Linked DNA regions of Cricetulus griseus. The protein of the gene in region 1 binds, or shares a complex with, the protein of each later gene. Links are inferred from orthologs where the notes say so. Each region holds a gene or a part of one and is shown on either strand. Other genes may lie near its edges.

Region 1 (3,814 bases):
GCCCTAGACTTATATTTTGGTATGTATCAATGGCATCTTTAAAAGTATTACACAACATCAGTAAAAACTAAAAATTAGATGGAGCAGTGTGTTCAAACCTATAATTTTAGCATTTAAGAGGCTGAGGCAGGAGGATTGTTATGAGGTTAGCCTATGCTAATGAGTTCAGGCCAGAATGAGATTGTCTCAGAAAAGAAAATTGAAGATTGAGAAAGATGTTAGTTTTATAATAGATTTATTTTTAAAGGGTAAAACACTCAGACAATTTAAATACAAGTCCAACAGAACCGCTGTCAGTCAGCCATGATGCCATCAGGTGTTCTTGGAATCCTCCCGGTGAGGAAGAAGGCTCTGGCAATGACAAGATAAGTTGGGTTTCTTTTTGGTGTGTAGTCACTGACTCTACGTGCTACCTTTAAGGTGCCCGTGCATTGAAACTAAATACTCTAAGCACTAAAACAGAACAATAGTGACTGTCAACTAAGGCTTAATAGCAGGCCAGTGCCCATCTAGGACCCAATCTGACCTTCACAAAGCCCTGATAGTGTCAATCATCATTGCCACTTTACACGGGGTCAAATTTATAGCTCAGCAGCTTGTTCAAGACCACCAGGCTAACTGCATGCCATCAATAAGGGGCATTACAGCCAGTTTTGTCTCTGAAGCCCGACCTCTTACTTGGGAGTAACCCTGGGCCATATCTGCTTCTTGGAGCAGGTGAGGCTGTGTAAAACTGCTTTTAAGAAGAGGGCTGAGCCCTGTCCAGGAATGATGCTGTCAAGCCTCTCTTGAAGATAAAGACCACTGCAAGGGTCAGGGCTTTGGATGTCAGATAACCCGAAATGGCCTGTGTTCTCTAACAGTCTATGTCAAACACTGCCAACTTTTGTTCTCTGAGTCTTCTTGTATTGAACTACAGACCGATTAGTCCTATGAGAGAAGGTAGTTTATGTCAGATTATTTACCTGATACTTTATTCATATACATCCTTCTTATCTGCAATGTAGTCTACAATTTCTTGTGGACACATTAACTTCTCTGCATCTATATCAGGAATTTCAAACCCTAAAATGAAAAAAAAAAGTAACTGAATATGGAAAAAGCAAACCCTTTAGAACTGAAAGCATATGACTCCACTTCCCCCTTTTAATTTTAGGTCAGAGCCTCACTGAGTTACTCAGGCTGACCTTGAAATTTCAAGTAGCTGTGATTACAAGTCTGTGCCACCAGGCTTGACTTACATTTGGTACTTTCATAATACCTACAGCTGTGTTAAACATCTCCAGCAATCTTAAATCCCATTTCGCTTTTAAGCTGGGCAGGTTTTAGAAAATATATCATGTTGGGCTTAAGTTTTTTTTTTTTTTTTTTTTTTTTTTTTTAGAAATAATAGAAAATTTCTCCTTTAAGTACAAAACTCAGTAGTTTGTAGCATGGTTACAAGGTTGTACAACTATTGCTATTATGTAATTCCCCAAGAATTAATCCAGTTAATCAAAGTCCCCTAGAATAGTGGTTCTTAACCTGTGGGTCCCCTTTGGGGTCACATCAGACATCTTGCATATCAGATATTTATACTATGATCAACAACAGTAGCAAAATTAGAGTCATGAAGTAGCAACGAAATAATTTTATGGTTGGAGGTCACAACATGAAGAAATGTATTAAAGGATCACATTGGGAAGGTTGAAAACCACTGCCCTAGAACTTTTTTTGTTGTTGTTTTTTTCGAGACAGGGTTTCTCTGTGTAGCTTTGGAGCCTATCCTGGCACCCGCTCTTAGACCAGGCTGGCCTCGAACTCACAGAGATCCACCTGTCTCTGCCTCCTGAGTGCTGGGATTAAAGGTGTGCCCCACTAACGCCCAGCTTGAGATCTTTTCTTGAAAACAGTGAAGACTCATAACAAGCAGATCCAAAGCTAAGGTATATATGTTACCAAATTCGTCTTCCATGGCCATAATAATCTCCACTTGGTCCAAACTGTCTAAGCCCAGGTCCTTCATAAAATGAGAATTTACTGAGAGCTGCAAGAAAGAAATACCAAATAAAATTTAATTCATGAAAGTGTTTGTTTCCCAAGACAACAGTGGAACTACATCATCATATAGAAGATTTTCAAAAAAACATCAAGGCTTTAAATAACATGGTGTATTTAACATATACTGGCATGGACACAGTATATTTTGTTAGCTTGTTCAATTTCATTTTAAGGTAGTTAACTTTAGAAACAAATTTAGATAAAGGATTTCATGCTACATATTTTATTAGGATCTTTGATCACTAAAGGATATCTGAGAGAATTTGTTTTCTTGCTATTTTATTAATAAATAAAACCCCTTCTCCCCCAAGCCTAATTGTAGGCTGAGTTTGAGGTCAGCCTGGTTTACATAGTACAGTCAACACTATACAATGTGCACCTACCCTTAAACCCTCCCCCCAAAAATGGCTATTATAGGGTTGTAGCTCATTATAGAACATTTGTCTACTATGCATGAGGCCCGCAGTTACATCCCAGCAACATATACATTCAACAACCAAAATTCCTAAGATTATTATAAATTATAGGTACCTGTCAGATGATAAAATACTGTATTCACTTCAAGATTACCAGGAAATAGTCTTTAAAAATCCATGTTAAGGGCCTGAAGAGATGGCCCAGCAGTGAAAAGCATTCCCTATTCAATCCTGAGGACCAGATTTCAGATCCAGCACCCATGTAACAAGCTGTGTGTCTAGTACATGCCTGTACCAGCTCCAGAGTGGGCAGACACAGGAGGATCACTGGACTTGCTGGTTTCCAGCCTAGATGAGAAAGGACCTCTAGGTTCAGAAATACCTTGTCTCAAAATAGATGGGAGAATGATAGAGGACATCCAGTGACCTCTTCTGTCCTCAGAACACATACAAGCAGACAGAGACATACCCACACGTCCTTTTTTAATAAACTATGTTAAACTACACAACAGATTCCATTACTAAAGAGAAAAACTGTTTATAAACCAACATGAAAAAATTCCAAGAGTTAAGATAAAAAAGAAAGATGCAAGCCTCATGTCATATTACCTCTATAATCCCCGCATTCAGGAGTCAAAGTGTGAGTTTTGGGCCAGCCTGGACTACATAGTGAGACTCCATCTTTTAAAACAAACAAACAACAAACAAACAAACAAAAAGAGGCAGAAGCTGTTCTGGTATATGGACCACCTGTGTTTTTTTTTTTGCAGGCTTTTCTTGTATTGAGGATTGTGATGAGGCCCTGGCATGACAGATGTGTTTCCCCCTGAACTACATTCCCAGAGCACTTGTGCTTTCAGAAGAAAGGGAGATATACATAAACACTGTAGTGGTTTGAATAAGTCCCCAATAAGTCTTGGGTGTGTTAATATTTGGTGCTAGTTGGGAAAGATTAGGACATGCAGTCTTTTTGGAGGAGGTGAGTCCAAGGGGCAGGCTTCGAGGCATTGAAAGCCTCTTCCATTCCTGGTGTACTCTCTGCTTTCTGTTTGTGATTCAAGATGTAAGCTCTCAGTTACTTCTCCAGTGCCATGCTTGCCTGCTTCCATGCTCTCTGCCATGATGGATCTATACTTTAAATATATCCTTCCTTCGTATTTTATCACAGCAATAGAAAAGTAACTACAACAAATACGAATGTTATACATGTGTCTATACTGCCTGACACATCTATTATTTCTCTCCAGAAAGATACAAAAGAAGCTATATCTATACAAGGACAATGCTAATCTAGTAGGATAATGATTGGCTGGAGACTGGGGAGAGTTTTTTTTTTTTTTAAATTTTATTCTTTTGTG
Region 2 (4,490 bases), on another chromosome or scaffold:
ACTCACCCTTGGCCACACACATAGTAGTCAGTGGTCTGTTGAAGTGAAGGTCACTGGGTTCAGGGTAAGCCCCACAGGTCCCCAGAAGAGCAACATGACCAAGCCTAGTTGCATGAGCGTGCGTGCGTGTGTGGTTTCTACCATTATCCTCCTCACTGGGCTGGACTTTTCTCTGCAGATGTCCCCCCCACCTAGCAGCTTCAATGAGCCTCGGAGTGGTGGAGGAAGTGGGGGACCCCTCTCTCATTTTTATTCCGGTTCACCCAACTCTTACTTCACCAGTGGCCTACAGGCTGGCCTCAAGCAGAGCCACCTCAACAAGGTGAGGAGCCTGCCCCACCAAGGACTGGGCCCTGTGTTTCCATGTCTTGTCTCTAAGGGCTTTGTCATCCAAGGTGCCTCAGATACCGCTCCATTGGTGGTGGGGCTCACAGTTTTGCTCATGGTGGAATGGCAATGGGCCACTTGATTCCCTCTTGTGTGTGTGGAGCCTAACACTATGCAGCTTCCCCTCATCTCAAGCTCACCTAAGATGTGGGTGGTCTCATACCCAGAGAATAGAGGAGAAACAGTTCCATCACCACCAGGCCTTGTAGCTCTGGGTGGCAGGCACAAGGCTAGAAGTGGGCTCAAGATTTCCTCCAGGGGTGACACCCCACCACTTTGATTTCCTCTAGGCTGTTGGTTCCTCCCCAATGGGCTCCAGTGAAGGGCTCCTGGGCCTTGGCCCTGGGCCCAATGGTCACAGCCACCTGCTAAAGGTACGGGCAGGGGGAGGGGTGGCACCGGGCTGGGGAGCCCTGGCCCCTAAGAGGCCCCTGACCCTGCCTCCCCTGCCATCTGTCTCCAGACCCCACTGGGCGGCCAGAAGCGCAGTTTTTCCCACCTGCTCCCCTCGCCTGAGCCCAGCCCAGAGGGCAGCTACGTGGGCCAGCACTCCCAGGGCCTCGGCGGCCACTACGCGGACTCCTACCTGAAGCGGAAGAGGATTTTCTAAAGACGTCGGCGCCAGAGATGCTCCAAGGGCCTGCACCGAATTGCTTTTGGGTTTTTCTGGTGTTTGTGTTTTTGTGGGATTTTATTTTTATTATTTTTTTTAATATCCTTTCTTTGGGTAATAGAGAAATCTCTGAAAAAGACTTTGCTGACCAACCAGCCGGAGCTCAAGGAATGTGGGGGTGTCTAGGGGCCACACCTGTGGGCTTGCTCCTGGAGCCAAAACCCTGCAGCCTTAAGAGAGAGGGGCCCGGCCTGCTCTCTTTCCCTCCCCAACTCCTAGCCTCCTGTGCCCAGCTCTCCAGGCCTCCTCGCCTGCCTCGTCACTCCTGTGTTCTGGCCTTTCGAGTGCCTTTGGAGGTGTCCCTGACCTGTGAGGATCAGGGACAGTCCCCTTTTTTAAACTTAGACAATTGACTTTGATTTCCTTTTCTAATTTTTATTTTTTAAAACCAGGATGATGACCACATCCATCCCCACCCCCACCCCAGAAAAGCCCCAACTTTGATTCCTTCAGGGTCTGGCCTACCTGGGCCTCCATTCCACACTTCCGGTTTCCAACAGCTTAGCCCTATTTTCCCAATCATCTGCTGCAGGTATAGCTTTCTCATGCCCCCTTCCTGCCTGCCTACTCTGGCCAGTACCCGATCCCAGATCTCCAGCCCCCTGCCATAGTCTTCTTGCCTTCTGATGCCTTAAAGTTGGGCCACAGGTCCTACCAGGTCAGAGCTGCTCAGATGCCGAGCTCTGGAAGCTTGACTCAGGACCAAAGAGCTCTGACCTAGAGATCATCCTTTCTCCAGGGTGTCTGCCCTGTGGACAGAAGGCCAAAGCCTTGGTCTTGGCAAACCACCCCTTAGCCCAAAGCCTGGGTACAGAAAGCAGTGTTTTCTCTGGCTTCTTCAGTAGTCCCTGCTGCTGTTCATGAAAGCTGACCATTGTACCCAGGTCACTGGGCCTCTAACCATGTCCCTCTGATCCCAGATCACCACCGCCAGCCCTAGGCCAGACCACTGAAGCTGGCCTTCTCTCTGCCCACACAGACAAGCTCTACAGCCTGCCTGCTTGAGGGGACTGGGACTCTTGCCCCTGGCTAGCTGAGCCACCAGCCTCCCTCCCCAAACCTACTCCATGGGGGTGTCCCCTCATCCCTCCCCCAGACCTTTGCTGAATTAAAGTTTGTAAGTAAACGGTTTAAAACAAAACAAAACAAAACAAAAAACAGCTGGCTGTTTCTTGAGACAAACCATGGGCCCAGCAAGATAGCTCAGTATTACAGTAAGAACACATCACCAAGCCTGACAACCTAAGTTTTATCCCTGGGACCCAAATGATACAGAGCTGTCTCCCACAAATTGCCCTCACACGAACACAATCCCTAAAATTGCAGTGGGGCATGGTGGCACTGGCTTTTAATCCCAGCACTTGGGAGGCAGAGGCAGGAGAATCTGAGTTCCAGGCCAGCCTGGTCTGCATAGCAAATTCTACAACATTTCAGACTATATATAGAGAACCTGCCTCAAACCAACAAAAAATTGGGCATGGTGGCATATAACACTTAATTCCAGCAGAGGCAAGTGGCTCTAAGTTGAAGGCTTGCTTGGTCGGTCGTTGTCCTTGCAGAGGACTGGAGTTCGGTTCCTAGCATCCACACAGCCCTCTAACTTCTGGGCTTCGCAGGCACCAGGCACACACTTGGTTCTCATGCATACAAGCAGAACACATACAATAAGACTCAAAGCGTGGGGAGGGTGTGTCCAACCACAGTTCCAGGCCGGAAGTCAAGCTGGATCCTGGTACATCACCTCTGACCTCATACTGCGTTCAAACACTGCGATTACAGTCGCAGCCTACGCACTGAGCATGCTCGGTCTTCCGGTCACGTGGCCTGTCATGGCCGCCTCCATGGCCCGCGGCGTGAGTGCCCGGGTCCTGTTGCGGGCCGCCGGGGGATCTTGGGGTACCTGGGCCGGACACGTGGCAGTGACGTCCAGGACTCTCGGGACGACAGGTACCCAGGCCCGGGTTGGTGTGCGGCTGGCAGCGAGGCCGCATCCGCTCACCCGCTCGTGTTTTCCAGGACAGCGGCGCGCAGGCGAGGACGAGGCAGACGGCCCGGAGCTGCCCCGGGACGCGTGAGTGCCCGCCACGCCACGCCCTGCCCCGCCCCGCCCCGCCACTGCGGCCGGCTAGCCTCGGCTCACAGCGCCTGCACCCTGTCTGTCCCCAGGGTCAACGTGGTCTTCGTGGACCGCTCTGGTCGGCGGATCCCCGTGAGGGGCAGAGTCGGGGACAATGTTCTTCACCTGGCCCAGCGCCACGGGGTGGACCTGGAAGGTAGGTGATACGGAATTGGGGTGATCCTTGCCACTCTTTTATTCCTTTTTGTATTTTTGAGACAGGGTCTCAAATAGCCCAGGCTGTCCTCGAATATCAGAAGGTGGCTTGGAACTTCTGATCCTTCTGCCTTCACCCGCTGGTGTGACAGGTGTGCACCACAATAACACCATACCCAGTGTTTTTGTTGGAGTGGTATGAGTGGATCGGTGATCAAGACTCACGCCTTAACTCGGTCTGTCCAGAAACTTAAGTGTGTAATCCAAGCTAGCCTGCAACCCATTACAGTGATCCTCCTGCCTCCACTTTCTGAGTATTTCGACTAGAAGCATGTGCTACCACACCACCATATTGCGGGTGGGGAGACTGAGATAGACTCCATGTAACTCAGGCTGTTCTGAAACTAGCCGTGTAACCAGGCTAGGCTCAAACCCACTGTAGTGATCCTCCTGCCTCAGCTTTCTCAGTTCTGGGGTCACAGGCTGTCTCTACTGTTTAGCCACATCTTACTTTGAGCTAGTAGGATGTCACTTACAAAAGACTGCCAACCTGAGTTCAATTCCCTGAGACCACATAAATGTAGGAGAGAAGCTGACACCACCTCCGTGCTGAGGCAGGCACACACACGTTGTGTACACAGTAATAATACTTCTTCTTTTTTTTTTTTTTTTTTTGGTTTTTCGAGACAGGGTTTCTCTGTGGCTTTGGAGGCTGTCCTGGAACTAGCTCTTGTAGACCAGGCTGGTCTCAAACTCACAGAGATCCGCCTGCCTCTGCCTCCTGAGTGCTGGGATTAAAGGCGTGTGCTATCAACGCCTGGCTAATAATACATTTTTAAAAAGATTTTTATTTATTATGTATACGACATTCTGCTTCCATGTATATCTGCACACCAGAAGAGACACCAGATCTCATTATAGATGGTGGTGAGCCACCATGTGGTTGCTGGGAATTGAACTCGGGACCTCTGGAAGAGTGGCCAATGATCTTAACCTTTGAGCCATCTCTCCAGCCCCCGGTAATAATACATTTTAAAGTGGAGAGAATAATAGAACTGGAAAGTTTGCTCAGTGCTGAAGAGTACATATGGCTGTTGCAGACCTCTGTTCTGTTCCTCCCACCCACTCTATGCCAGGCAATTCACAACCTCTGTAACA

The links.
Region 2: Ndufab1 (region 1) and Fdx2 share a complex: the UniProt entries of both Homo sapiens proteins name them as parts of the mitochondrial core iron-sulfur cluster (ISC) complex. The link is inferred for Cricetulus griseus from reciprocal best matches to the Homo sapiens genes NDUFAB1 and FDX2.

The regions. Positions count from the first base shown.
Region 1 is NC_048596.1:78,579,897-78,583,710, reverse strand, and holds the end of Ndufab1 (acyl carrier protein, mitochondrial), read right to left. Parts: intron 2,027-3,814; coding exon 1,939-2,026; intron 1,066-1,938; coding exon 974-1,065; 3' UTR 966-973; intron 352-965; 3' UTR 219-351; downstream 1-218. UniProt on the Homo sapiens protein: Carrier of the growing fatty acid chain in fatty acid biosynthesis.
Region 2 is NC_048597.1:133,929,697-133,934,186, reverse strand, and holds the start of Fdx2 (ferredoxin-2, mitochondrial), read left to right. Parts: upstream 1-1,634; 5' UTR 1,635-2,700; coding exon 2,701-3,131; intron 3,132-3,226; coding exon 3,227-3,333; intron 3,334-4,490. Other genes in the region: Raver1 (ribonucleoprotein PTB-binding 1), read left to right, coding at 179-322, 678-761, 851-997. UniProt on the Homo sapiens protein: Electron donor, of the core iron-sulfur cluster (ISC) assembly complex, that acts to reduce the persulfide into sulfide during [2Fe-2S] clusters assembly on the scaffolding protein ISCU.